2 linked regions of the Callithrix jacchus genome follow. The protein of the gene in region 2 interacts with the protein of the main gene of each other region in a biochemical or structural test. Links are inferred from orthologs where the notes say so. Each region holds a gene or a part of one and is shown on either strand. Other genes may lie near its edges. The genes, in order: KLHL6 and RC3H2.

Region 1 (3,823 bases), on a different chromosome or scaffold from region 2:
CTCGTCCCTCCCACCAGTGATGTAGAGCCGGTTGTTACAGGGCGCGATGCCGCAGCTGGCCCGCTCGTGGCTGAGCTGGGTCACCAGGCACCAGCTGTCTTCCAGGGGGCTGTAGGCATACAGCGCTCTCATGGCTCCACCTGAGGACAGGGAGGGAAGAGGTGGACATCCCTCCAGTTTCTGCCTTCTTCGCTCTTAACCACTAAAACTCAGCTCTGGTTAGGCCATGTCTACCCTCTTCCCAATAGAAACAGTAGATTAATGGCTCCTCTGAAAACCAGAGTGGGTCCCAGGGGCAGTGAGTGGCCAGCGCTGGAGACACACCCTTTCTGTGCTGCAGCCAGGCACGAATCCAGCTCTAAGCTATTCAGATAAAGAAGAAGCCCTTACTCACCAACAACATAGATGCGGTCCCGGAAACTCACTGCATTGATGCATTTCGCCTCCACTGGCATGGCCGCCTTCAGATTCCACTTGTTGGTTGAAGGGTCATAACACTGAGTCTTGTCTGTGGCCAGTTTCCCATTGGGCCCTCCCCCAATCACGTAGAGCTTCTTCTTATGGCTGGTGGCTGCAAAGGAGCTGACGTGGACAAGGAGGGGCGCGGCCTGTGGAGGCACAAGGCACAAGAAGCAGCTGTCAGTCATGATGCCCAGGTTGCTGCAGTAGCTCCCAGGGTGCAGGACGGAGCTCCAGGACACAGAACTGGGCAGCTTTTGCCTAAAGTCACAAGGCGCCTGTGCTTCACTCCTCTTAAGACTCAGCGAGAATGAAAGCATGTATTTCCCACCCTCCCTGCAGGCTCCACACAATCTAGAGCAAGCTGTGTGCTGGCATGTGCCAGCCTCTCCCAGAGTCCAGCTCTCAGGGAAGGAAGAGGATAGGCAAGAATAAGTTTATACAGATGAAGTCAGCCAATGTTGGAGGAAAATTATTATTATTATTATTATTATTATTTTGGAGACAGAGTTTAGCTCTTGTTGCCCAGGCTGGAGTGCAATGGGGCAATCTCAGCTCACTGTAACCTTCACCTCCTGGGTTCAAGCGATTCTCCTGCCTCAGCCTACCAGGTAGCTGGGACTACAGGCATGAGCCACCACGCCTGGCTAATTTCGTATTTTTAGTAGAGACGAGGTTTCTCCATGTTGATCAGGCTGGAGTCTAACTCCCGATCTCAGGTGATCCGGCTGCCTTGGCTTCCCAAAGTGTCAGGATTACAGGTGTGAGCCACCACGCCCAGCCCAGGAAAATGATTTTTTTATACATGCATGTTCATATTAATTCATGTGCTTGTCCACTCAAAAAATATTTATGGAGTGCCTACTGTGTACCAGCATTGATTTTCCTTGATGCTTATGTCTAGGAAGAAAAGCTGGTATATGGGTTTAAGGTGGCCACAGGTAAGCGGGCTCTTCCACTATAGGGCAACACTGAAGCTTTTGAGATTAAGTCAGACATGTGCTTCTACCCTGGGAACCCCTGGACACTAAAGGAGCGTCTTGCCCAGTTACATGACACTTTGCATCATGGAGCAGCTCTGGGATAGGACTTGTTTTGAGGAGATCTTGGGCAGGTCCCCTGTAAGTGCTAAGAGCTATCCATATAGCACTTTTCAGGCTGACAGTCTTGGCTAGATGATGTGGTGACTTGGCTGCCTCTGCTTGTGCCTGCAATGATGGGGTTGTACTCTCCATTAAGCTGGGACATGCTCGGACATCTGATTTGATAAGGAGAAAGAAAATTGGAAACTGGGAATAACCTGGAAATGAGATCAGGTAGCTTTTCTTTTCCTGGTGTGATATATACCTGAGGTTGTGCTGCTAAAGTCTGACATGCAGGCCTGCAAGTGGCTCTTCATGGATGAGAAAATAATGAGGGGATGATTTCTAACATGACAGAATAACTCTGGGTTCACAAATAGTGTAGTAAAGTGATCTGCACGTGTCCAGTGTAGAGAAGAATAGGAGAGAAGGCATCTGAGGAGAAAGGACCCTAGGCCAGGACATGGAGACCAAGAGAGCTGCCATGCACAACAGTGTAAGCCTCTGCCCACATCTGGGGCTCTGGCCGGATTAGGACAGGTGCCCACACAGACCTTCACCACCTGGAAGACATTGTTTCTGTGACTTAATCAGCAAAAAGTATGGGGGAGGGAAGCTCAGAGCCACCAGAAATGTTCTCCTCGGAAGTAATGTGATCAGAAAGCTGGCTACCACTGTGGGTACATTCCCAAGCTTTTTTAGAAAAAAAAAAAAAAAAAAAAAAAAAACATTGAAGTAATAATACAGACAGTTAGTCGTACAAATCATCTCCTGGCTGGGCACAACGATACCTCATGCCTGTAATCCAAGCACTTTGGGAGGCCAAGGCAGGCAGATCACGAGGTCAAGAGATCAAGACCAGTCTGGCCAACATGGTGAAACCCCATCTCTACTGAAAATATAAAAATGAGCTGGGTGCGGTCGTGGGCGCCTGTGGTCCCAGCTACTCGGGAGGCTGAGACAGGAGAATCACTTGAGGTTGCAGTGAGCCAAGATCGTGCCACTGCACTCCAGCCTGGGCAACAGAGTGAGACTCCCTCTCAAAAAAAAAAAAAAGAAAAGAGAAAAGAAAGTATTTCCTCTACCTCTGACCAGCAGTTGTGAAAGGGGTCATAGGTCTCCACATTGTTGATTCTCTGTAAGCCGTCGAAGCCTCCGATCACATAGACCTTACCACCCAGCACCACCATCTTATGCCTCCAGCGGCCTATGTTTAAATACTCAATCTGAATCCATTTGTTGATCGAAGAGTTATATTTCCAAACATCATGCTGTGTTTCTTTGCCACCTGCAAGAGATAAAAAGCATTTAAGAAACCACCAGATGTGTCAGAAATACAGCATCTCCCATAATATCCCGCATGTCCAAAAATGCCAGGTTCCTAGGCCAGCCTCACCTTGAGGGGAGATCAAAGCAGCCCTGAAGGCGTGTGCGGTCTAGTGGGGAGACAAGGCAGATGCAGGGGGACAGTGGGAGAGAGAAATGCATTGTGAACACACGGTGCCGCGTGCCACCTCAGTGCAGGCAAAGTTCAGAGAAGGGGTAGCTAAGTGAGCGGTGTCCCAGGAAGGCTTCAGAGGGCAGGCCCCAAGTCAGCCTAGGTGGGTAGGGGCCCGAGGGAGCCTGGGCTCAGCGTTCGTGCTCACAAGGAGCAGGAAGTAAGGCTGGGCAGGGACAGTGTGCTTTGTCCAGAAGGCAAATTACATGGCAGCTTAAGTTCTATGTTGACTTATTTATTTAAAAAAAAAAAGCAAAGATACGGACCTGCAAAAATCACCAAGAAATCGTACAACATTCTCTTGGTTTGTCTTTCTGATCTATATAGAAAGATCAGTGGGACTTACCCTATTTCTAAATTAATATTTGTTAGAAAAGTACGAGATGCTCACAACAGATCATTTGAGAGTGGCCTGGTAAATATTTTCTTGAAGACAGCTCTCTTAAAAAACAGAAAATATGTAATTCAGCAGCTGGGGAAAGAGACAAAAGGGAAAACTGACTTTCTGTGATTTTAATCAACGATTTCACAGCTCTATTTTTCCATTTTCCCATAGAGTACCAGCAACTACTGGAAGCACAGGTTTACTTTGCAGACATACATGTGTGCAATAGTGCAGAAATGAACACTGCTGACCAGGCCCTGTGTCAGGGTGTTTCTCTAGTATGGAGCCCGGAAGCGGGTTTTCAAGTCAAAGGCATGTGCACCTGAACTTTTATAGGTGTAGCCAAAGCATCCTCCACAACTGTGCTGGTCGACTTTTCCTCATGCCCACTTTTTGTAG
Region 2 (3,823 bases):
CTATGGTGCCACAAGACCAGGGAGAATAATGGGAAAGATGATCTTCTTCAAATTTTGTACCACTCACACTCTCTGAGAACTGGTTAAAAAATAAAAAATAGAAATAAAGCCAATTAGTAAGAAGCTTACATTTATATTATAAATGTAAATGTTATATTATTTATATTTTATATTAAATTTATATTAGTTACCTATAATTAATATAAAGTAACTATTATAGAATTCAAAGGACTTCATAGTGAACAATTACACTCTTTCAATAACTAATATAAAAAACTAATAAACAAATGGTATTTTTACAATAGAAAATGGCATGCTTTCCCTTTTCACTTTGTCCTTTAAGTGCTCATATGGAACATCTGACTAATACTATCAAAACCACTTAACAAATATTTATAGTATGCTACTAATATGGTATTGGGTGCTCCAATAAAAAAAAAAAAAATACATAGATACACACAGAGATCACAGTCCATATCCTAAAGGAGTTTATAATTTTCTTTTGAGACAGGGTCTCACTCCCACCGCCCAGGCTAACGGGCAGTGGGGTGATCACAGTTCACTGCAGCCTTGGCTTACCGGGCTCAGGTGATTTTCCCAACTTAGCTTCCCAAGTAGCTGGTACTACAAGTATGTGCCACTATGCCCAGACAATTTTTTGTATTTTTAGTAGAGATGGGGTTTTGCCATGTTGCCTAGGCTGGTGTCAAACTCCTGGGCTCAAGCAATCCACCCACTTTGAACTTCCAAAGTGCTGGGATTATGGGCATGAGACACTGCACCCAGCAGAGTTTATAATTTTCTTGAGAAAAAGAACACCATGTGCAAATAGGGGAATATAACTGATAAATTAGGCAGCATCACGTAAAGAACAAAAGGAATTCAAAGAAGGCTTTGGAGCTAAAGGAGAAATAAATTTTAAATGGGCGTGAATAATACTATAGGACCATAATACAAAAGTTGTAAGAATTATTAAATCTAGTTTACTAATTATTCGAATTAAAAAAACTCAAGGCCAAAAAGGTTAAATAACTTTTCTTAAGTCAAACTCAGCATATCTGAGTATCAGAGAAATAATGATTTCCTGAAGCCTAGTATATCTATAAAGAAAATACAAGCGGCATCTATAAAGCAAGTGGCAGCTCTGTGACTCTGTTGTCAAGATATTTACCTGCTTTGAAGAGGTCTATGTTTGACAAGACCAATTTGGATCTGGTTTAAAAATTCAATGCTTTATTGAAATATTTATGGATTAAAAAATATAACGCCTAATATGACTTCTAAACAATCCAGCAGGAAGAAGGGGGTACAAATAAGACAGTATTGACTGAGTTGATAACTGTGGAACCTGGGTGTTGGGTACAAGGAATTTATTATGTTATTCTCTCTATACTTGCATATGTTTGAAATTTTTTATAATAAAAAGATTTAAAAATTTTTAATATCATAACTTCGGGGATGGGGAATAAACCAGAAGAAACTTTAAAAAGAAATTAATGGTTTTCTCTAAATATAACAGTACTGAAAACATCATATTATATTAAAATCAACTTGGTACAAAAATTTATTTTGTAATGCCAAAAACAATAATTAAGGTGATATAAAGAGCATAAAAAATACCATAGGTATTTCTGCATCTCTTGTGAAGTACAGAAGAAATACCTCAGATAGCCCAGGATTCAAATCCCAGCTATTTACAGGCTGAAAGATCTTGGGCAAATTACTTAACTTCTGTGAGTAGGATTCCTACCCTGTAAAATATGGAAAATACCTGCCCCCTAAGGTTTTTGTGAGAATTAAATAAAATAGCTTTATGCAATTGCTTAATACAGTACTGGCAAATGGCTTTACGAGTAGGTGCTCAATAAATGATAGATATAAATCACACTAAATAAAAAACCATAAAATTATTACTGGAAAGATTTTGAATTCTTCGTAAAGGACTATGGGTTAATGGTCTTCAGAGTCTCCTAACACCTAGCCATAGTGCACATATATTCAGTGTTTATTGAACTAAACTCAACTGCAGACCAAACCATTGCAAAATATCCAACATAGCCAATCCTGGTTTGAATGAGTAATTTGAAATCAGCTATTTGATTAAAACCTTTCTTACATCCGCACGAAAGTCTACACTGAATAGAGGAGAAGGTGGTGTTGGTGACTGTGTTGCCACAGGAAGAGTTGAAGAGACAAGAGGTGCTTTCTGAGTGTGGTACTGTGCCCACTGATCTGGCTTTCTTCTTATCTGCTCCTCGCAACTGGTCTTCAAATGACCACAAGGTTCCTAATGGGGGATAAAAGAAACAATCTTAATCATCTAGGGCGTGGTCAATAATTTAACTGTGTGAAAATAATGTAAACAGTTTATGATATTGTCGGGATAAAAAAATACACCAGGGAAAGTCACCCTAGTCTGTTCTCCATACACTGAAATAAAAAGGTTTAATATTTATTCAACTGATGTTAAAAGCAAAATCTGAGCACTCACTTTTCTGGTTTAGGAAAGTCATTTGTATATATGTGGTGATACTGAACAAAGGCCCTAACCTTGTATTTTTAAGATTTCTTTCTACTTTCCCAACAATTTCCTATCCAAACATAACATTTATTGAGCATTAACATGTATCAGGCCCAGTTCTAAGAGGTTTGATTTCTTAATTTAATTCTCACAACAGCCTTATGAGATAGGTACTACTATTGTTTCCATCAAATGAAAGAACTGAGGCATTGAGAGGTCAAGTAAATTCCTTAAGTCACACAATTAGTAAGTGGAAGAGCCAGGATATCCACCTGGGTGGTTTGACTCCAGACACTGGGCTCTTAATGACTGCATTATAGTAGCACTCCTATTTCCATCATCACTTACCCTTGGTAAAGGCACAGTTGTCCTTGGCTCACTTGGTGGCTGACAAGCCACCGAGTAATATCCATCTAATGAGTTATATCTTTCCCGCAAAGATGTCTGATAGACAGATGAGTGCATCACATCCATTGGAGGTAAAGAATTGCTTCTAATAATGTCATCTCGTTGGTACATAGGTGGGCGCCAGATGCGCCTGCTGTCATACACAGGAGCATACATTCCAGAAGGTACTGGAGGAACTGGTCCATACGGCTGCGGAGGAGGAGGTTGGTAAGGAGAAGAATTCATTCGATCTCGAGGGGAAAATGTACTGTAATGATCGGCATATGGCATGGAAGCAGGTGGGAGGGAGGACTCTGGAACATTATTGGACCTCACAAAGCGAGGAACACAGGGAGCCACACCAGCTGGTACCGTTGGAGGTGGTGGATAGTATCCTTGAAAATTGGAAAGAGGAATATTTAATGTAATCTTAGTACAATCCAACATTTTATAATGGCTTAAATCTAACACAGCCCTTAATGCAGGAAAGTATAATAAGCTGTGAACCTTACCTTATTCTGCTTTATAAAGCTTTATACAGTGCTTTTTTTTGGGGGGTGGGGGGTAGAGACAGAGTCTCACTATGATACCCAGGCTGGTCTTGAACTCCTGGGTTCAAGCGATTTTCCTGGTTGGGCCTCCCAGAGTGCTGGGATTATAGGTGTGAGCTACCATGCCTGACCATAAGCTACATATTTTCAAGATATAACTATATGAAAATCATTAACATTCAATACTTTGTTAAAGTGCTCCTTAAAACACACGACAGAGCTATTAATATGTGGCTAGCAAATATCCTATTGCCACTGGTTTTCAATCAAATAATCAGTTACATCATTGACTTTTATTAACCTTATTGGGAGAAGAGGTTAAAGACCTCTTTCAAAATCTATGTAAGTTGTTCACTGTATTATC

What was found.
Region 1: the proteins of RC3H2 (region 2) and KLHL6 form a complex in vitro, tested with the Homo sapiens proteins (2 studies listed by BioGRID, with this or other methods). The link is inferred for Callithrix jacchus from reciprocal best matches to the Homo sapiens genes RC3H2 and KLHL6.

The regions. Positions count from the first base shown.
Region 1 is NC_133516.1:12,550,068-12,553,890, forward strand, and holds part of KLHL6 (kelch-like protein 6), read right to left. Parts: intron 2,830-3,823; coding exon 2,627-2,829; intron 609-2,626; coding exon 395-608; intron 141-394; coding exon 1-140. UniProt on the Homo sapiens protein: Involved in B-lymphocyte antigen receptor signaling and germinal center formation.
Region 2 is NC_133502.1:171,477,164-171,480,986, forward strand, and holds part of RC3H2 (roquin-2), read right to left. Parts: intron 3,304-3,823; coding exon 2,870-3,303; intron 2,288-2,869; coding exon 2,117-2,287; intron 80-2,116; coding exon 1-79. UniProt on the Homo sapiens protein: Post-transcriptional repressor of mRNAs containing a conserved stem loop motif, called constitutive decay element (CDE), which is often located in the 3'-UTR, as in HMGXB3, ICOS, IER3, NFKBID, NFKBIZ, PPP1R10, TNF and in many more mRNAs.